4 linked regions of the Neodiprion lecontei genome follow. The protein of the gene in region 3 purifies or fractionates together with the protein of the main gene of each other region. This does not show direct contact. Links are inferred from orthologs where the notes say so. Each region holds a gene or a part of one and is shown on either strand. Other genes may lie near its edges. The genes, in order: molybdopterin synthase catalytic subunit, DNA polymerase epsilon subunit 3, histone acetyltransferase KAT2A and transcription initiation protein SPT3 homolog.

Region 1 (5,034 bases), about 25 Mb from region 3:
CAGCCTCATTTCCAGATTTTCTATCAAATTCTCTGATGTTTTATGGTAATACTTTCTGCGAAATTTTATATGAATTAGGGTCGCTTCACACACCATTTCAATTCTCTAAAACCGCGGCGCTGTGCGCCCCACTCTGATCAGCTGAAGGAGTCAGTACTCCTTTCCAAGAAATTGTAGCATCATGAACAGTGGCGTCATTGCCAGCATGGATGGTATAAACCAGACCTCGACATTTTTATGGCATGGAAATCCCTGCCCTGGATTTTGGAACATAGAAATTTTTTTCAAACACATTTTACGCGCATTTTAAAAAAAAATTTTAGTTAAAAAATAAATTAGAGTAACCAAAGTTAAAATTCTTCAGATCTGTCTTGAATTAAACGACTCGATTTATATGAATTTGTACTGTATTTGTTTGAAAAACGCAACTTGATTACTTTTTCATACACTTGGCTTTCATGCTGCATAAATTGATACAATATCTGATATATACCTGTTAACTTGTATCTAACTTCGTTCAAATGAATAAAGAGATTTGAATACTGAATAGTAATTTTTGTATAAGAGAAATAATTTTGTTTCTGATTTCCTAATGTTCCAGGTTCCACATTTACATAATGTCATTGACACATGTCATTTCGAAGTCCTTCTATTTCCAGACTCCTCAACTTTAAGATTGAAGAATTCTGATCTACTCCTATGTATACTATTAGGATCAAACCTTTATTTCATTGTATAAAATTGTCTCATTGTTAGACATACGCATGCCCCCCCGCCAAAGGCCAAATATCGGTAAAAAAACGTAGTGGCATCGCTGGTCGTGAAATATTAACTAAAGTCTGCAAAACCGATATGTAAATCCAGACACAATTAATACGAGATAGTATAAAATCACTTGTAGCGTATTTTCCCGAAATTATATTAATAGGGATACTAATAATAATATAGATACTTGTCTGCTTTATCAACATTATAACAAAATTAATTAGATTTCACAGTTCGATTGTCAGAAAAATTATGACCAAATAAATGGAATGATTGATATTCCTTTTTACATATGCAGTGACAACTTCTAAATTTCTTAGAGTACAAGTAATTGTGTACCTTCTTTCCTTCAAAATTGTCCCGAGTTGTACCAATGAAAGTGGATATTGCTCCACAATTTGCTGCAACTACCAGATTAATTATGCCTCCTATATTCAACTGTTCCGTCTGCAGCTTAATGACATCTTTTGAGTCATTCATCTTAACCTGCAACAAAGACTGTGATTGTGAATATATTCCCAAAAATGACTATTGGAATTTACAGCATAACAAAGAAACCAAAAGTATTAAAAACAGAGAACAATCACGATTATAAGTACAATTCTAAAGTCAAGGCCGAAATTCTTACTGAATAATTTGAAAACAAATCGAAATTCTTGATAATGATTAAAGAATCAAAGCAGACCCTGCATGTCAAATCTTCGTGAATGCAACTCATTGTAGATTCAAGAGTAAACTGAAGGTGATATTTAAATCGTTTACGTTAATATCGTAAGTAATTAAAATAATCGTAAAGCTGAACTTTGTAACATTAACGTAATGATGAATTTTTTCCGTCTGATCATTATTTAGCAACTTTATAGTTGTCCATAATACAGTAGTTGACTCAAATAAAAGCAGAGCATAAATATGAAATTTTGCAAACGTAACTCTTTCAGTCATACTAAAGTTCCAAAATCATGATTTAAAAAAAATTTTCCTTCATCTTAGCTTTGCAAACTTTGAGCTCATAAATTTTCCAAGAATACTTTGCTAAAAGGCTGGATCATTATTAAGAAATTTGAAATATCATAAATACTGAAAAACCCTGAAAAAAAACTCCTTTTTTGTAATCAAGAACTATTATTTGAAAATAGCGCGAACAATATCTCAAGAACCAATGACAAGATTCAGTTCCAATAAGTTTCCTTTTACTAGGCTTGAGGCTGAAGTTAATAATATTATTACAATGATTAACGTTTTAAAAAATTGCTATTTCTCAGCTGCAGGAATCTCTGAAATTTAGTAAATCATAATGAGGCAAACTGTATTCTTTTTCATATTTTGAAAACCTAACTACTTCAAACTCACTATAACCTTGCAAAATAACAATTTCTCCCCGCAATGTTTGGTTACATAAAGGTTACTAACTTCGGCATTATTACTACGCTTTGCTCCTCCATAAGAATGGTCTAGACTTTAGCTAGACTTTATAAGCTATGAACAAAAGAGCCGAATTCAGATTTTTGGATAAGTAACACATACTGGGAAATGAGTTTAAATAATCTTTTCTCCGAAAATTGTGTTAATTATGTGCAACATTTTATCAATGAATATTGTGTTTCCTGGAAGAACATCCATATTGTTGAGCCTGTTTCTGGCAGTTTGTGGTGATCCAACATTAAACGGCGTATGGCTAAGCCAATTACAGTTTATTTTCTTCAAACTTGGGTTTTTCAATACTCTTGTGTTTAGAGCTGTCATGGTAATTAAAAATTAAAGGCACATAAATTCCAGTAGACTTTGTAATAAGCTGTTGAATGTTGGATGTAATAATACAAACGTTCTTCTAGGTACCCTCATATTCCTTGCCTTCGGCGATAAAGCTGGAAATGATTATGGTATTCATGTCGATTTTCATCAGCATTGTACAATACGAGGATAAGATACTGATACTGGCAACTGCCCAATCCTGAAACATAACTTCGACCCTATAGAGAATGGTACAGCCGCTCGTTGCGGCATAGTATTATTATGAATGTGGCGGAAAAACATATTTCACTACTTGAATGAAATAAGGTTCCGAAAGATGCCCATGATAGAAGATTTGTGCGAAAACAGTCAGGAAGAAACGTATACCTTTTGTAATTACGTAGTTCTCATTTTTTCGCTGAGCAGTCAAAGTAGTTTGATCATTATTATGATTAAATGTAAATAAATTGAAATAAATGTTAATATGTTTGATAAACTAACCTCCACTGAGCGGGGGAATAACAGCAATTTCGTCCTGGTCGGATAGGTTAAGCGTTCCGTTGGCTGCAAGGTATTCTTCGTTGAGAGATAAGATAACAGAATCGCGAATACTTTCGAGACCAAATTTCTCAATAATTGTATCCAACAAAGATTGGTAAGAGATGTTAGCCGGCAGCTTAGCCCGAGACTCTTTCAGGCCGGACAACTCGCGAGCCTTGGCGAAAAAGAGAATTTTTACCAGCGAATCTCGTGATTCTCCATCCATCATAAACTATGGGCGACAGAGTGGCGACAGCGACTGGCTCTGCTTGGCACTTGCATAGACCTTTATCGCACCACACATGTTTTCAACACATGCATTGTTATTGTTCACTGTTTACTCGATTGGTATTAGCCAATACTATCTCGTTACGTAAGAAATATTTTCCCGGAACAATAGATCGGTGGAAAGTTGGTAACGAAGCATAACGAGGTTATGTTTGCGTACGGTACGGTCGAAAAACGCTGATACCGGAAACGTGCCGAAAAGGAGAACTGTGATTAATCAGCCTTTCTTCATCAGTCGTCAAATTGACGTATAATTCTACTGTTATCTCCTCCATACATACCAATTTATTGCTGTTGCAAAAATTTCTGTTTTTATTGACAAGCTGCTCGACAATTCTTGGACCTTAAAATTGTTGCTAGGCTGACGCCCGTGGTGATGACGTAACACCTGTTAGCTGGCGCCTCACTAGACCAAACCGAATGCACTTTTGATAATCAGGTCAAAGGCGGAATGAGGTCACGGGAAGTATGGTCGCACAAAACGGCCAGGCGTGGGCCCTTATTATTGCACGAAAAATAGATACCTATCTACCTGCCTGAAATCCAGTTAGAATGCGAAAGCAGGAACTGTACTGTTAAAAGTAACGGAACCATATATATGTATATATATATATATATATATATATATATATACATTTATATATATCTATATAAAATATATATGCATAGGTATACCTATCTACGCATATTTTATCATGCATTCATCGGCATCCTCACATCTGGTGACATCGCAGTCAAATTAATATCGCCTATGTATTATCTTATCGAAGAACCTCCATTTGGAGGAAAATGAGCGTGCAAGTTGTCTGGTAGAAATATGGGAATTATTTCAAAGCTGAAGCGCTCGTGATACTTGTATACAAAGCTACGCTGAAATCTAAATGGAATATTCAATTGCTTATTTGAACTATACCAGTTCTGTCATGATACTTGGGAAATAATTATGTACGGTATGAAAGTATAGGTGTTGACTTCAAATTGTAAAATACAGAAAGCAAAAGGCGCACTGCGTATGTGTCCAGAAAAAAACCTATGATTGAACAACTATCACGGACAAAGCTGAGAGTGGCACTATGGTAGTAACTCGTAAGTAGTGGTATAGTTTAAAGACGCAGTAGCCTTGTGCAAGATGTTGGTGCAATCATATTCTTTCTAGTTCTATTCTATACAATAAAAATAAATACTTGTACGACATACAATCTGAAAAATATTTCATACGGAATTACGTTCTATTTATTCCATTTCGACTCGATTCTTGTCAATTAACATTACAGCTATAGTAGCTACACTGTACAAAATGATCGATCAAGGGCATATGGTAGCACGGCAATTTCATACGTACCGTCACTGTTTCAAAGCTAATACACAACGTCTACGGTGACTAGCTATGGACTAGCTAGGCTAGTATCTCTGTGTATAGCGTTAGCATGCGATGGCCTTGGGTAAGTATTCAAATGTATGCAGGCGTACGCGTGCAATACAATGTGCTCATAGTTAAGTATAGATATGGGTGGATCGAGAATACTGGTAATCCGGAGCTAGGAAAGAATGTGCAAGTTGCTGTGGGGCAAGGACAACGTTGCTGTAATAGGTATACACGGTGTAACAAGGTACTTGCTTCTTGCAAGTTGTGAAAGAGAATGTTACCTATACCGCCTCACTGCACGATTGGATATGGATGAAACATATGTTACACATGCCCAACTAAAC
Region 2 (4,432 bases), on a different chromosome or scaffold from region 3:
TGTTATGGTTGATGCAAGTAGATCCTTGGATAAAATTTTCATACTTGCATCACTATACAGACTAGACTTAATGTGCGAAGCTCAAGAGAACATGATGTTTCCAAGAAAATCATTGCATATTTATCCAGTATTTAAAAATAGTGTGAACATCTCAGAAAGCCAATGATAAAAATGCTTGGATAATATCTTGTTATTTCTACAGCTTTCTTTGTGTACTGAAATAGAGACAGAATTGAATGTGCAAGACAAACAATTTTTATTATAAAAACCATTGATATTTTTCATGGTGATGTATATTTCATTCTCAAGTTAAGTATCAAAATATTGGACAAGTTTCAACCAAAATCTATGATTCAAGTTGATGAGCACTTATCGAAAATGCAAATCATAAATATCTATGTATAATATTTATATACATTTGATATAGAATTTTTAATGTCTATTTGCTTATAAATTTTTCTATCAAAATTACATTTCTCAAAGAACGATATTAAAGAATTTAAATGTCCTTAAAAGTTTCTAAACTACTGTTAAAATATGAATAGTAAAGCCAAGTATGAATACAATTACTAATGCAGGATATGAAAATGATCCGAAATTATTCTAAACTACGAGTAATGGTAAATTTTTGCTAAATAACATTTAAGTGGTACTACTCGTTAAGAATGCCTAACTATTGGAAGGCGATGCTATATATATATACATCGCAGTTAATTCAGATGAAAAATTCTTTGATTACTAGAAATAATTAGAATTCGTTCAATTTTAATAAACAGCGCTGATCAAGAAAGGACGGCTTGAGTAGTCAATAATTTTATGCTAGTCTTTCTTTGCCTGTTTTGTAAACATAAAGTGCCATATATACACATACAATTAATTCTTACATATAAGATATTATTGCGATGTGTTTACCTATGTAAAGTAAGTAAACGGAACTGAGATATAAGCTAGGCATAAGATATAACTTTATAATATAGTGAAGGAGAAAACACAAAGTAAACCAATATTACAGAGCGAAATATGGATTCGATAGGCATGTCTCTAATTGATTAGACTTGCTACTATTGTTAAACAGAATACTAAACACTGTTCGTAGTGAAATGAAAAATTCCATTAATTTAGCATAGAATGTTCGAATTGTAGTCATTTCCTATACTGCACATTCTGCACTTGATTTAAAAATCCACATAGAAAGAACATTGCTAATCTTTCTTATTCTCATACGGAGTTTTAGAACATGCGGAGTAAATGTTTTTTAACCCTATAGTCTATACCTACCATTACTGTAAGCTCGCAAGATTGTTCAATTATTGATCTAATGATATTGAATGAAAAAAAAAAAGAAAACTACATATATATGTATATATATATTACTATGTATATTATTATGTACCCATTGAGATACACACTTTTACGAACGATTTCTGCATAAATATTATGTAATCTATTTACTCTCACACCAATATTGTCTTATATACAATTAATAAAATTTTCTGAGACTGTTTGCATATTGTTCGTCATACAATTCAATGCCACAAACTATTGAATTCGTGATACAATTCAAAAAAGCGGAAGCCTGGTGACTCACCAAAACTTTGTCAGAATAGTATGCAACCCTTCCATCACACGACCCACTTGTACAAAATGTATTGCAGTAATGATTTTGTAAAAGCACAGGTGTCACATTAACGATTCATAATAATGTCAATTTGGAAAAGGAGAAAGTAATAAAACATAAGTAGATACTTCGAGGGGAAAAATAATAATAATAATCAGGATTTGAGTGAAAAAAAAAAATATTCTTATATTATTCAATATAAATTGTGGTTTACACACAGCCTATACATATACTTAAGTTAAAAATCCGATGTATTAAATAGTGTGTGAATGTAAAAAATGCAAAAAAAAGTAGAAGCTACTCAGCGTCTTCGCAAACGATTTCTTCCACTTCTTCGTCATCTTTCTTCTGTTGTTTTCTCTTTGTAGTCGCATCCTTTTTTTCCTTTTGTGACTTTTTGAAATTTTCCAATGCCTCTTGGAGCGGTTCAAGAAATTGGTCAAACTCAATTTCTTCAATAGCTTGAATAACGTCAGTACCACTGATAGTTTTTCTTTTTCCTTTTTTAGCGATTGTATTGGCAGTTGACGTAATGTACAATATAAAAATCGAAGCAGCTTTTGCGACCGCCGCTCGTGCTTCCTTGCCAATATTGACTCCGTCCGGCAGAGATTCCTTAATTATTCTTGTTACAACAGCATTAGGGAGATTCAAGTCTTCTAATCTCTCAGCCATCTATTGAGGTGAAGCATTATTCGTTAATTCGCGAAGAGAGAATTTCAAAATTATATTGTCGTGAAATATTAAAACACGTTTTACAATGGCAGAAAAGTCGTCGAAAAAAGTGAGAGAAATTTTGAGGTTATAAAAACTACGATACCGAGAATTTAGACAACGTGATGAGAAAAATTGATGTACTTACCTTTAGCTTTTACGATTGAATGATTTTCAACGGAAGGTAAATAAAAAGTAGAATATCAGCAAGTGGTGACGTTTCAATTGAGTTTTACTTCGTTTTCGCCGATATTTCAATCAGATTTTATAAGTAATTATTGTATCACCGAGGGACGCGACTGTGAATTTGAAAATCAAATATAAACATGTCGTGTATTCGCTCCATAAACTTCATTCGCGGTAGGGTGATGTTTTTTATTTTATTTTTTTTTTTCCATCATGCGATCCTGAGACGCCATCTACAGGATTTTACAAAGTACCATATTTTCGTCTAGTTTTCGTGACTCATTGTCAGGACATTTGCAAATGAGTTTACGAACACGCCCAAGGTTTCTGCTTCGTAGTACGGAATACGTCGTCTGCATTTCACGGATTGAATTGATTTGACACAAGAAAATTTGACAGTAATATTTTTGCGGAAAAACAAAGTGATTTTACAAACGTGAGCCAACATTTTGAGAAAAATGTCGAAAATGGAGGAAGGAATGGCCCACATTCGGCAGGCCGAAAAAAGGTGAGATTTTTTTCTTAGTACATCAATCCAAATTAGAAAAGAATTTGATCATTTTAATTCCCTAACCAGTAAAAACGTACCATTAATTTAGATCATAATAATTTATTAATTTTCTCCCCTAGTTTAAAAACGTCACTTTTAAAGTGGAGACCTGATTTTGAAATCGCTGCTGATGAATACTCCCATGCGGGTAAATATACCATGCGATAATATATTTGCGCGCCTCATTACTGTCAATATTTAATCTTCTCCTTCCACTCAACAGCCACCTGTTTTCGAAATGCAAAAGCTTTTCAACAGTGCAAGGAATGCCTAATGAAGGCTTCAGACTGTCACAAACAGAACAGATCGTATCCTTTCAGACATCGATCGGTGTTTTTTGAATTTTCATGGTTTACTTTTTTATTAACGATGAATTCTATACATAATTTTCTTATGTCGAAATCGAAAGTTCTTGAATCAGTATAAAACATGCAGATCATGCGTCATAGTTTTCATCTGTTTCGACGAAACAATTTTTTCTCTGGTTTATAGTTAAATCCTTAATTAGTTTAATAGATGGTTTCACGCTGCAAAGTAAGTATGGCCAATTGACTCAAAGACTCAAGCAGACTTTAAAACTTGGAAAACGATGCTTGGTTTATAGAAACTGAACATACGGTATTTTATCAAGTGGATGAAAAAAAGCGAAAATGAAAAATATTTTCCAAATACAGAATGATAAAAACCAATGTATGCAAATCAACATTGTTTTTGTTTCAAACAATTATCTCAAGTGTTAAAATAATTTACCGAACCATATTCGTTTTAATTTGATCCAGATCTAGATCAAACCTAGATCAGATCTAGTCTTAGCATTCTTTGCCATGGCTATGATTTTACTCCCAAATTGTACGAAATTGATATAAAACAAATATCCGTTTTCATAAGTATAAAAGGCTTTCTAAAAATAGTTTGCATAAGCACCTTCAAAAAAAAAAAATGTTGAGCATACAAATAGTGGTTTCATAAACTAAATAAAGTGACTAAAAATGTTGTGTAGGAGTATGGAACAGGCACTTCTAGTGTGCAAGGAATTAGGAAATTTAACCGAAGTACCGAAATTGGCACATTCTGCATGTTCGTTATATCAGCAACACGGCTCACCTGAATCAGGTGCTTCGGTACTGGATAAAGCAGCTAAATTATTGGAAGCTACTGAACCCGCACAAGCTCTGGAGTTGTACAAGCGTGCAGCTGATGTTGTTATGGTATAAGAAATAATTTCATAATGACAAAAAGCCTGATAGTATTTCCAGCGTTAGAGATTAAAAAATAATACGGCTATAAAATGTTACAGAGTGAAGACAGTCCGAGACAAGCGGCTGAATACATGAGCAAAGTAGCTAGAATTCTAGTAAAACTAA
Region 3 (6,615 bases):
TGCTTGTTAAAATATGGTAAGTATGTAGATAGAACTCAGTTTCATCGGTTGCGTGGCAGAGTTTCCCATTGCTGTGAAACAATGATAACAGCATGAGCTTTGTTGATAAAACACGATACTATTGTCTCGAAAAATCACTATTGTTATAAAAGTATAAAATTAAGTTGGGTATTCCCCGGTGCCAGGAAGATACATCTGCATTATATATCTTCTTCAAACATCCGGTTCGATTTATGTTATAGATACGCGAAAACCTGCATATTTGCACAAAGTGATCTGACAATTTTTCTGCATAAACTTTTTAAAACTCCAAAACTAGTTTTCAGTTTTTTGTAGAAAGTTATAAAATTTTTTTTCGAATACTGGAAAAAAAAAATATCCAAGACTTGTAACATCTGTTCAGAATCTGTTTCAGAAACGCAAAAAATGCAAGAGTATTATAAATCTTCCTACCAGAAAGAGATAAGAAACTTTCTCAAAGTAATTGGAACCCATTGCTGACCACAATAGAATAATTTGACTTTCTTTTTATATCTATTACTCGAATACAAATTTGCGATAATAATAAAAGAAATTCGTTTATTTCGTCTAAATAATGAATGAATCACGAGCAGTAGGAAAGTTTTATTCAAGCAACATATCATGACTGCTATCGTGAACTTGAGAAAAGCAGTGTTCCAGAGACTGACCATGAAGAGAGGCATTATTATAATCACTGCATTACATTAATTAATTACCTATTTGGCTAGTTACATTAATTAGACCATGAAGCAATGTAGTTGAACTCCAATGCAATGGTTGAAAATACCGTGCCCAAGTAAATTCTTGAATGTTTTACTCAGTCAATTTTTTCGGCAATAGTATTCAAAACCTGAGTTGTACATCGATTCATACGAAAATTCCTGGGACTGATTATATGAATTTCTCTCTCCTGCCGTAAATGTGTCTTTTAAGGAATTTCCAAATTGTCATTTAATCGATAGAAATATATTTACAAAAGTCAGTTATCTTTATTTAAACATATATTGTATGTATACTACATATACATAAGTATGTATATCCATGGATTATTCACTTGCAGCACCTGACCAACATTGCTTAAATCGAAATTGAACTAATCAGTAGCTAATCTTAATTCAAATTATTCTCCAATTTATGATAATATATACAGACGGCAAATTGTGGAATCACATTTTCGTAGTTCTTTACTTTGTGAGGCCCCTAGCTCTAAGAACAACTCAGATTAAACATATGTTTTACATCCTTTTGAAACCCGAAATATTTACCTACACAAGTCATTGACAAATTAATTAACGCAGATTTTCGAAACCGTATTCATTTGAAAACGATTTTCTCCTAAGTATCATAGTACGCAATAGCATACATCGGGTAACTCATAGTTTAGCATAATAAATAATAAAAGTGTTTAGTGCATAAAGCACAACGCGTCATAAAATCAGTACTCAGCCATCAGTTAGGTGAATATCAATGAGTTTGCACTGCATAATTAATACGATGCTGTAGAATAAATGGGGAACAATCACTCTAAACTTGATGAAGTCATCATTATTTATCCCAAAGACCTATTTCCTTCATTCTTGTTTGAAAATATTTTTCCAACGCATTGGCACATCTATAATATTCCGTATCCGGGCTGTTGTACAATCGACAATTTGTAAATATTCGTGTCATATCAGCTATAAACAATCGCCGAGTTACATAATATCTGGCCTTAAGACGGTCGCTCATAGTTTTTAAGTCTGAAAATATGACAAAATCATTAATCATCATTATCTTTATTACAATAATCGATGCATATGTAACATATTTACCCATTGGATATTTGATGTGATCATAATAATCAGGGACATCATTTTTATCAACAGGCTTTAGGAACGGCCATGCAGTGCTATTATTTTTCACAGTATTCAAAACACTTTTTAAGGCGTTGTATAATGAATCTGTCACATCCAAACAAGCCTCCATTGGCTCTGGTCCCTGCGTTCCTTTCGCGACGCCTCTCGTTCTTGTTTGAGCATAACTTTTCCATCCAGTTTCCCGTATTCCTGGGATAGATTCTACAGGAATTCCTCGCACACCCTCTTTGAAGCAGGTCAGGCCAGGATGCACCTTTTGTATTTCTTGTTGCCTTTGATATATCAATTTTTTGATTATTTCTTTCTGTTTTCTTATAACTGCAGTGAATTCTGTGTACACAATTTTAGCGTTAAGTTCACAGTGCATCAGAGTAGCACCTTCGTAGTCTTTGATATACCCTTGGTACATGGGTCTAGACATTTTTATGTCCTTGCTAAAACCCTGCTTCTTGAAGTACCCGATCGCAAATTCATCAGCAAACGTTAAAAAGTGCAGTATATTGTTTTTTATATGATAATCCTTGAGCATGTTCATCAAGTGTGTACCGTATCCTTTGACTTGCTCTTGACTTGTCACAGCGCAAAATACGATTTCCGTAAATCCTTGGGTTGCAAACATTCGGAAACAAATTCCACCAATAGGCCTACCATCTTTGATAAGCGCCAAAGTTTTATGTTTTCTGTTTAAAGATATTAAAAGAGAACCAGAAGTAAGAATGAAACTTGAAAGTTTTGTAAAAGAGATAAGAATTACTCACGGATCGAAGACTAGTTGAGATATATATTCTTTTGGCATTCTGGGTAATTGGTGACTGAAAACGTTGTGTAATCCTATCAACCAGAGCATAGTTTGCTTCGATACTGGTTGTGTCAGGCTGTTTCCAATGACATGGAACTCTATAATCTTTCGACTTTCCTCAATTTTTGCAGTTTCGTCTCTCGGCACATTTGGTGGGAAGACTGCGTCAGGTCCGCACATGTAGTTAGGATCATTTATCGTCGCTACAATTTCTGCTACAGTTTCTTCCGGCAAGTCTTCGAAAGCTTCTTCATTTTTACGTCTTTTCAAATCAGGCCTTCCCTCTGAGTGAGATCGTTTTTCAGGAAGTTTTTTTAGCCCTGGGCTTATATTTATTGTCGTATAATTGTCTTTGTCATTGTGCGCTACACTGATTTTCTCGAATTCACCAGGCCGTCGTGAGTGATTCCCCTTTGATTCTAAGGCAGCTTGTAAATGTGATGGCGGTACTTGTTTGAACTCTGGATCCCATATAGGAGAGCCATCAGAGTATATTTCTACTTCTAGCATAGATAAAAACCTGTGGATCAGAAAATGTGGCATGTAGTGATTTGGAATATACATTTGGAATTAGTACAATCGAAAGTTTCTGTCTGTTATAAATCTAAGATTTAAGGAAAAACGTTACACATACTTGGGAAAGTGCGTCAGGACTAGAACTCTCTTTTCAGGTGACATTCTGTCTCGTTCGCTATGACATTTGTCCATGAGTTGTCTGCAGACTGATTTGAATACAGCTTGAAGTAAAGTTCTTCCAAATACGAGTGTAGTATCGTAATGTGGTAAAGAATCGCAGAAAGCTGGTACATGACAAAAGACAAGCCAGCGTGTGTAGTTTATTTTATATGCGGGTGCTTCTTCGGCGTTACCAGCAGTTCTTCTAGCACTTGGAGTCTCGAAATTCCAATGATTTAAACAGTGCAAAAACATCTTGGCTAAATCGTACATCGCTTGCCATTCGCGTTGGGATAAATGGCCAAATTTGTAGAGCACAAAATTAGTTATAGCCTTGGCTATGCTAGGCCTCTCAAAAGGCGGCTGACCCAGAGGTCCCTCTATTGTCGGTTTAGTCATAGACAGGATACATTTTCGCAAAAGTTTAAATAAATAGTAATAGACTTTTTTTGTATCCGGATCCTCCTCCCTGTGCATTCCCATGAAAATGTTATCAACATCGATGACCATGCCGAGTAGTTTGTTAATTTCGTCATCGCTTTGGGATTGCAGATGTGTGATATGCTTTTCAAGCACATGGGTGCAGCTTCGACATGGATCGGAAAAGTTAGCAGCTGGTTGCTGCATGTCATTCTTTGGACACTTAGTCAATGGTTGAGCGTTCTTCCATCCGTTGCATTTGCACTCGTCGGCTTGGCATGAGCTGTAATTTGCCAGTTTCAATAGCTTTTTTAACTGGGGCCAATTAAAAACTTGATGTTTGCGTTGCTGAATCCTCTGCAAGTTGTTCTGGCGACTAGCTTGGTCCGTACCTCGTGGCGAACTTGACTCTGCGCTGTTACTGCTCACGAGGTTTTGAGATGTACTTGTCACGGACTGCACTCGATCCTCAGACGACATACCTGACATGGTTCTGGTAGTTTCATCCATTGAAATGATTTTCTAAAATTACTACACCTGAAAAATATCAAATTTATGACAATGTTTATGTTCAATAGCATGTTTCTTGATTTCCCAGATTTGTATAATGAATTATCAGTGGGAATTAAAATGTGTATTACTTTGGATTATATATTCAAATCAGAAATTATCGTATCTATGAATTAAAAATCAATTACTGATTTTTTACCAAGAAATAGCTGGTTATCGACTCTACTCATTGAAGGAAAATTGAATTTTGAACTTTGCGAGAAGGGTAAATTCAAGGTTACGCAGGCCGGGTAAATTGTTGACAAAACATTGAGACAAAGTACGTGATGTGAATTTGAAATTGAAGTCAATGCGACGCAAAATCGTTACGAAATAACCGAGATTTTCATTCGTGAGATACCCGATGAGTATAATTATCGTTGGCGCAATGTCCTTTTTGACAGTTTTAATTTTTCGCGCAAATATCGATGGCTGTGGGTTGTGCGTACAGCTGAGAAAAAAAATACTCTCAAGTAGGGATTATTTAATCATTTATCATCACCACGTCGAGGGTATTCCAAGTGCGGATAATTAAACATGTATGATAAATAGGTCTAAATTTACGACAAGAACAATAATGAATTGTAATATGTTTATTTACCAAAGCTTCCGTTCACATATTATTGTAACGCTGCGCCTCCATTTGTTACGTGATTTTAGTTCGTCCGAACGCCACGTTCTCAAGTGATTCGCACGGAGCGTTTGCCTACTTTTAATTTTGATTTAACGCTGGTAAGAAATAAGTAAAAATATTCCACCTTACTTTCCTTATCAATATTCGCAACGCTGCGCTAGTCGTCGGATTGAAATACCCCAAACACCCTTAACTAACCCGCGCACAAGTCGACGACGCATTTTATCAGGTATGTGCGTAAATTTACTCCGTTAAAAGATATTGGTTAAACTATGGAGTTTGGTTAGTTCGTTTGAGATCAGCTTATAACCAGATCATTGCACCATATTGCCCCACTCTTGAAGTTTGCAATCCTTCAACTCATTTCCAGAAAGTCGTTGGAGGCAAGCCACCCTCTGGTGGAGTCAGAAGCCGGGGAAGTCCCTTTGCCATTGCGGCATTGCCATGGCAAGCTGGGATGGGTCTTATTATGGGCCTGAGGACCCAAATTTTCATCGGTATTCGGACCAGGGGAACGTGGCGCGCAACTGGAGCTATTATCCTGAGAATGGCTCCAACGTGCAGCCGAGTATCTCGAACCTGGGTCAACAGCACTTAGCCAATGCCTATCAGGATCCGCAAATGGCTGGTGGTACTCAGTATGCAAGGCCACAGCCTTTCTTTGAGAACAATAGATCGCAGCTTAATCTTCCGCCATTCAAATGCAAAAGTGGGAACCCGAATGACAAACTTAAGAAAAAGAATTACCACGGTAAATTACCGTTTGTCCCTCAGCAAACGATTGATCCCAGTGTCGTTGAGAATTCAAACCTGCATGCAACCGCTGGTGAGTTTATACCTAGCTCCTTGAAGGCGCTGCAAACAGCTGGGACAAACTCGTCTGCCAGTAGTAGTGAAAATAATGGCAGAATTATGCTGGAAAATTATGATTCCTCAACTCAGCATTCGGGAAATTTGACCTTCCACGATTCGAACATGCCGAAAGTTGACCATGTGGATATTAGAAATAAGCGAGATAAGAAGGATAGGAAATATGATGCAAATAAAAAAGGCGATAGTTATAAGCAGAGGGATACTCAGGATGCTCAATATCAAAATACCAATTTGTTTAAGAATTCTGTCAGGAATCAGAATCCGAAGAATCGCAGATTCCAAAATGATAGGTATTCTAACACCAGACATTATTCGGATAATAGTTCTAATTATACGAGCGATAAGGATAGCGATAGAAGAAAATGGACAGGTAATTCCAGTGTTCGAGAAAATTTTGAAAACGGTTCATATCACGGTGAAGAAGACGCAACTCAATCTGTGGAGGGGACTGTTAATAAGCACTATAAAACCTCTAGACATGATAATACCCGACAATCTGGTGGTTCAGCCAAGTATTACGGCGATCAAAATTATTCTAGTCACAATTCTGAGATGAAGTACAGTCAAACGGGTGGTAAGAGTGTTAGAAGATATTTTAATGAAGATCGTGGAGAACGGTATCGTGATAAAAGAGACAGATACAGTGATAAGTATGAATCTGGGATCAGGGAGAAGAAAACTAGCTATGCAGATTACAATGGATACAAAAATAATTATGAAAGAGAGGAAAGAGGGGAACGGAGCAGAGACAAGGATAAATCTAAGGATAAGGATAATTCAAAAGGTAT
Region 4 (4,759 bases), on a different chromosome or scaffold from region 3:
CAATAGTAGACAAGTAGTAGTTTTTAAAAAAAATATACCATTTTATTAAAACTACGCGTATTTATAGAAAAGGGTTGAACAAATGTTGGTAGTCATTGTTAAAAATCTTGGACATGAAATCTTAGTTCAAACACGTGATTGGACAACCACAAAAGAAGCTATTATGGATTTCGATTGGACGACCATTTTCAAGTAGACAAGTTTTTTAAAGAGAAAATAGTTCTCAGGTGTTATTTCTTAGGCAATAATAAATTGTTACTGAAACAGTATTGAAACAATTTAAAAGAAATACTTTAAAAACCTCGACAAGCCGTAATTTATAAAATTAGGGCAGTTTGTAAGCGGTTGAATGTTTTAAAATGTTATCGATATGTTTAATAATAATGATAATTCGTCCAAACATAATTGACAAAATTGTATAGTTCTAATATAATAGATTTGTGGTCAATAATCAAAGGAGGAGGATACACAAATACACGTTGAATATACCTATATTGTAAATCATGACATATACTGTGATGCTGATAATGATCTTTGCATAATTGTAGATAAATTTTATTACACGACTGAAAAATAAAAAGAAAAAGAATATTGTAAGCATGTAAATCGTGAATTTTGTAAAATACGTAACAAGAAACTTCCAAAAGTAGTCATTACTTTTCTTTGTATTTTTATTCCAAATCTAGCGTTTTTCCTCAAATTATAATGTAGTACGTACGATGCTCTGTAATTTTAGAAATATACACTTGATATCATGATTATTGAGTTTAATGAGTAATATAGAACAAAATCGCAGTCATATATTGAAATATAAAACGGCCGTGGCTCGATAACAATAAATAAACTGAAGCTATTATCAACATCAACCCTGCAATTATTTTAATACAAGCTCGTACCTCCGCAGCCTATGTCTCAACAAGCAAGTAATTTTGGGTGCAGCGGACGCAGAGATGATCTGTAAAATGGCCCTGTAATATCCAGCTGTGGTGACCAATACCTCCTCAATGCCTCATTTATTTCCGACGGACTGATTGGCTTTATTACGACTCCCTGTAATCAAAGAGATTATATAATGGAACGCGGCCAATTATTTGTGACTCAGGTAAAGGAGAAGAAATCCATAATCTCGTTTACCATATTATGCTGATAAGGCTTGTAGGTATAGGGATTACAGTGGTTTAGTTTCAGCCTTTCAATAGCGTCTCCATGAATCTTACTCTGATCTTGTCGGACCACAAGCGCCAAGTCTATAATTTGCGCGACAGTTTCGTAAGCGAGATAGCTCAAAATTTGGTAGCCTTGTTTTGATATTTTCACATCATCTGTAAGCGTTGAAGATTCGATTTATGATTAGATACTGAACAGAAAAAAAATATAAGTATATACTAGAATGGTTTTTTTTTTTTCTTCTTACATAAACTTCGAAAAGTTAGTTTTGAGCCTCAAATTAAGCCTCGTGAAACCGAAGCTCGGTAGCAAAATTCTAAAAGTTTAGTTCGAGTGTTTGAAAAATTCAAACCGGATGAGTAACGTTTTAGAATTTTGCTATAGAGTTCCAGTTTTACGAGACTTCGTTTGAGGCGAAAAACTAACTTTTCAAAGGGTACATAAGAAAAAGAAACTTAAAAAAACCAACCTGATCTATACACATAATATGGTTGAATTCACTTTACCATCCGGGCATACCCAGTCGCTGAATTTGTGTCGCTGTTTGTTATTTGTGAAGGAAGCGTGCCGTGCCTTTGAGTATTCCACATATTGAATTTCATCCATTTTTCTAGTGACCATCTCTGCCCTGATCAGTCTGTTCTGTTTAACGATATCAAAAGTGCTTCTATTTTCGAGTAATTCCCCTGTATTGTCGATCAATTGAATGAAATCATGATAAGGACGTTTTCGCTTTGTCAAAACTTCGCCACCGTCAGCCTCGAAAAAATTCCCCATACTCTCTGGTTGAACCGTCTTGTGCATTATTGCTCGCAGCTCTTTTACTTCTGAAACAAAAAGAAAACAGATCAAATTGAAGGGATGTATTTAGTTTACAGAGATAGATTCACAACGTACCAAAATTAATAAGACATCAATGTAAGAAAAATACCACTTGCCTAGGTACTTCAACAGCCGTTGAACCTTGACCTTATCTTTGCGCATGAGAAAAATAAAATCTTCAGGTGTTATTATTCTATTCCCTCGCCTATCAGCAACTTCGCACGCCCTGTAAACAATTGCTCGCATTTGGTGCAGTACGACATCCTCGATTATTTTTGCTGACTCTAACAGCGGGGCTGAACTGTCGCCAAATCCATGCATCATTTGACGGATTTCTAACCAGAAAATAAGCATCAGCAATGTGGAGAAAATTGGATAATAGATAATGAACGAGCCTGCGGTATGGATTTCATATTCTTATGTCACAAACATAACCAACAGAATTCTACCTTCTTTATATTTATGTATACGTATATAATAAATTTATATATTTCACTCACCCGCTGTGTAGTTGATTGGTTCATTTTTAACGTCAGGTACACTTGTCATTTTTAAAGTAATTTTAATGTTTGTTTACGTTTTGTTGTTTCTTTACAAACACAAATTGCTAGTAGCAGACATCACATCGGCAGGTGTTCCAACCACTCTTGTTCCAAGTCTGTTCTAGGGTAGTAACCCTAGAATCTAAATGTTACTGGAGTACAGCGAAATCTAAAATAATAACGGCGCCTAGTGTCAGGCAGTTCTCATTACATGCAGTCATTACATATTCTGTGTCCAGTAGCCGCACATAATGCTATCTATCATCATAATTGCAAGACTTGCTATGCTGTACCCTTCGCTTTTTGCTAAATTCATTTCTGATATTTCCTGCTCTAGTGGGCAACCGTGCAGCTCAACCTTGAGTGGGGACTGTTTAAAGGTATTGTCGTTGTTTCGGCAAAGTATCGAATTAGTCAAATGTGTGTCTCGCGACACTCAAAATCGTCCTCACGCATGGACGCGCACTCGCGTGCAATGTTTACTAATTGCCGTCTCTGCGTCAAATCTCGCCGCTTGCCAGTCTCGCGACTCAAAACAGCAGCTGTATCTCATGTATTGTCTACTGTCTCAATATCATGTATGTGTGTAATCTATGTATTCTCTCGCTCTGTAAACCGTCAGTCTGCGCAACGTTCTCTTGCGATACTGTCTGTATCGCCGCATCAAGATCGATGAAAACCTCGCTTATCGTTAATCATTATCACTCTCCATGTCAACATCATTTCGTTTCATTTACTCTTGTCCTCAATCACTAGTTCGCGGATGCTATGTCGATGATCCATATCTTTTTGCCATCTCTCTAAACAGAATGGTATAAAATATTTTATTTTGCATATTTAATTTTATCCTTTAAAAAAATCCTTAACCCCTTGTAACCCCTTGTGACATTTCTGTAACAAACTAAATAAGATCCTAAAAAATCCATACGGAACGTATTAATGACAAGTCCTTAAATGACATTTATTTTAAAATTTGGTTAAAATAACGGTGCCATGGCCACCATTATGCGGCTGCAGCCGTCTGCTTGTGATGTTCAATTGAAACATCCGCATTAGCGCAAGGGACACAAAGAAAACTGCAGAAAACCTTTGGTCCGTGTGGCTGCCGGACCGAGTTCAAACTTCAACCCGCCAATTCGGCGCCTGAATGACGTGGCCCGTCTTACAATTTTGGCGAGCTACCGTGAAAGAGGCTGGGGATTTGAACTCAGATCCTCCCGTTCCGTAGTCTTTGACGTTACACGCTACGCTACTACGGCTGGTAATATAAATTAATTGTTTGGAGGGCAAAAGCCCAAAGATTTTATTGATGGACTATTTGAAAATTGAAAATTTAAAAATCCAACTTATTTATCTGATAGTGCAGCAAAAAGATTTATAAAAGTTATATGTATGTTATCGGATTATTTATATATTAGTATGGCATTTAATAAAGGTTGTAATGATGATATGAGTGAACCATCGTGATGTCTTTTATTTTTCTGACACTACCACATGTGCACGCGGACGAGTGGATTTCGCAACGTGAATTCTCAAAGACGAGAGCATACTTTTCAAATGTTTTGTGACGATATGATTCCTTATTCAAAATTGTTGTGGGTGAAATAGCAGTGGAAGATTACAGTTAAATCGAAAGTAACGAACAAAATTATTATAAAATATTCCGTCGTCAGCTGATACACGTATTCACACACTCTCAACGTCAACATGGCTACGGCTGAAACGCCTGCGATAGCATTTCGCTTGTTTAACGATTCACGGCACTTAGATACCACTGGAATTTATTTCACCCACAACAAAACAGCAGCTCAAATAGGTTAATTGCAGCTCCGTTGTTGGTTAAGCTCTATTTACTGATATTTTACGTTGCAAAAATTCAGTGATACTAGATGGCGTCATCATAACTTTTGGACTTGTCGCTGAGCTAGCGAGGCCTCGCGTGACGTCATAGCTAGCAATTTGAATCGTATTTTTCATCAATGTTTCTTTATGACGTTATCACGTCAAACTATCGTCCGTAAACCGACTTTACAGACAACCAATTTTTTTTTTTTTTTTATTATTATATAAAAATGGTGCTGAAGTCGTCCCTTCGAAAAAAGTTGACCTTGCTGCTGTTAATGGATTTGGTGCTTCACTTATCTGAAATAAAAAAAATTAAAAATGACCCTTAATTATTATGAGTATATCTATCGCAGGAACTAAAATGAAGAAAAAAAAATAAAAAA

The links.
Region 1: the proteins of histone acetyltransferase KAT2A (region 3) and molybdopterin synthase catalytic subunit purify together in Drosophila melanogaster (affinity purification with mass spectrometry; 3 studies listed by BioGRID, with this or other methods). This does not show direct contact. The link is inferred for Neodiprion lecontei from reciprocal best matches to the Drosophila melanogaster genes Gcn5 and Mocs2B.
Region 2: the proteins of histone acetyltransferase KAT2A (region 3) and DNA polymerase epsilon subunit 3 purify together in Drosophila melanogaster (affinity purification with mass spectrometry; 3 studies listed by BioGRID). This does not show direct contact. The link is inferred for Neodiprion lecontei from reciprocal best matches to the Drosophila melanogaster genes Gcn5 and Chrac-14.
Region 4: the proteins of histone acetyltransferase KAT2A (region 3) and transcription initiation protein SPT3 homolog purify together in Drosophila melanogaster (affinity purification with western blotting; 3 studies listed by BioGRID, with this or other methods). This does not show direct contact. The link is inferred for Neodiprion lecontei from reciprocal best matches to the Drosophila melanogaster genes Gcn5 and Spt3.

What each region holds. Positions count from the first base shown.
Region 1 is NC_060263.1:10,688,620-10,693,653, reverse strand, and holds the start of molybdopterin synthase catalytic subunit, read right to left. Parts: upstream 2,993-5,034; intron 1,252-2,992; 5' UTR 1,246-1,251; coding exon 1,105-1,245; intron 258-1,104; exon of another isoform or gene 97-257; coding exon of another isoform or gene 94-96; intron 1-93. Other genes in the region: molybdopterin synthase sulfur carrier subunit, read right to left, coding at 2,993-3,265. UniProt on the Drosophila melanogaster protein: Catalytic subunit of the molybdopterin synthase complex, a complex that catalyzes the conversion of precursor Z into molybdopterin.
Region 2 is NC_060261.1:6,080,420-6,084,851, forward strand, and holds DNA polymerase epsilon subunit 3, read right to left. Parts: upstream 2,704-4,432; 5' UTR 2,481-2,703; intron 2,294-2,480; coding exon 1,916-2,293; 3' UTR 642-1,915; downstream 1-641. Other genes in the region: gamma-soluble NSF attachment protein, read left to right, coding at 2,977-3,026, 3,149-3,216, 3,292-3,376, 3,585-3,602, 4,069-4,276, 4,366-4,432. UniProt on the Drosophila melanogaster protein: Accessory component of the DNA polymerase epsilon complex. Participates in DNA repair and in chromosomal DNA replication. Histone-like protein which promotes nucleosome sliding of ATP-dependent nucleosome remodeling complexes.
Region 3 is NC_060263.1:36,091,666-36,098,280, forward strand, and holds histone acetyltransferase KAT2A, read right to left. Parts: upstream 5,017-6,615; 5' UTR 4,922-5,016; intron 4,309-4,921; 5' UTR 4,282-4,308; coding exon 3,311-4,281; intron 3,197-3,310; coding exon 2,636-3,196; intron 2,558-2,635; coding exon 1,833-2,557; intron 1,761-1,832; coding exon 1,567-1,760; 3' UTR 699-1,566; downstream 1-698. Other genes in the region: protein shuttle craft, read left to right, coding at 1-16, 5,325-6,615.
Region 4 is NC_060262.1:4,441,805-4,446,563, forward strand, and holds transcription initiation protein SPT3 homolog, read right to left. Parts: upstream 3,005-4,759; 5' UTR 2,539-3,004; coding exon 2,490-2,538; intron 2,325-2,489; coding exon 2,106-2,324; intron 1,995-2,105; coding exon 1,674-1,994; intron 1,323-1,673; coding exon 1,135-1,322; intron 1,051-1,134; coding exon 913-1,050; 3' UTR 897-912; exon of another isoform or gene 725-896; 3' UTR 695-724; downstream 1-694. UniProt on the Drosophila melanogaster protein: Component of the transcription regulatory complex SAGA, a multiprotein complex that activates transcription by remodeling chromatin and mediating histone acetylation and deubiquitination. The SAGA complex predominantly acetylates histone H3.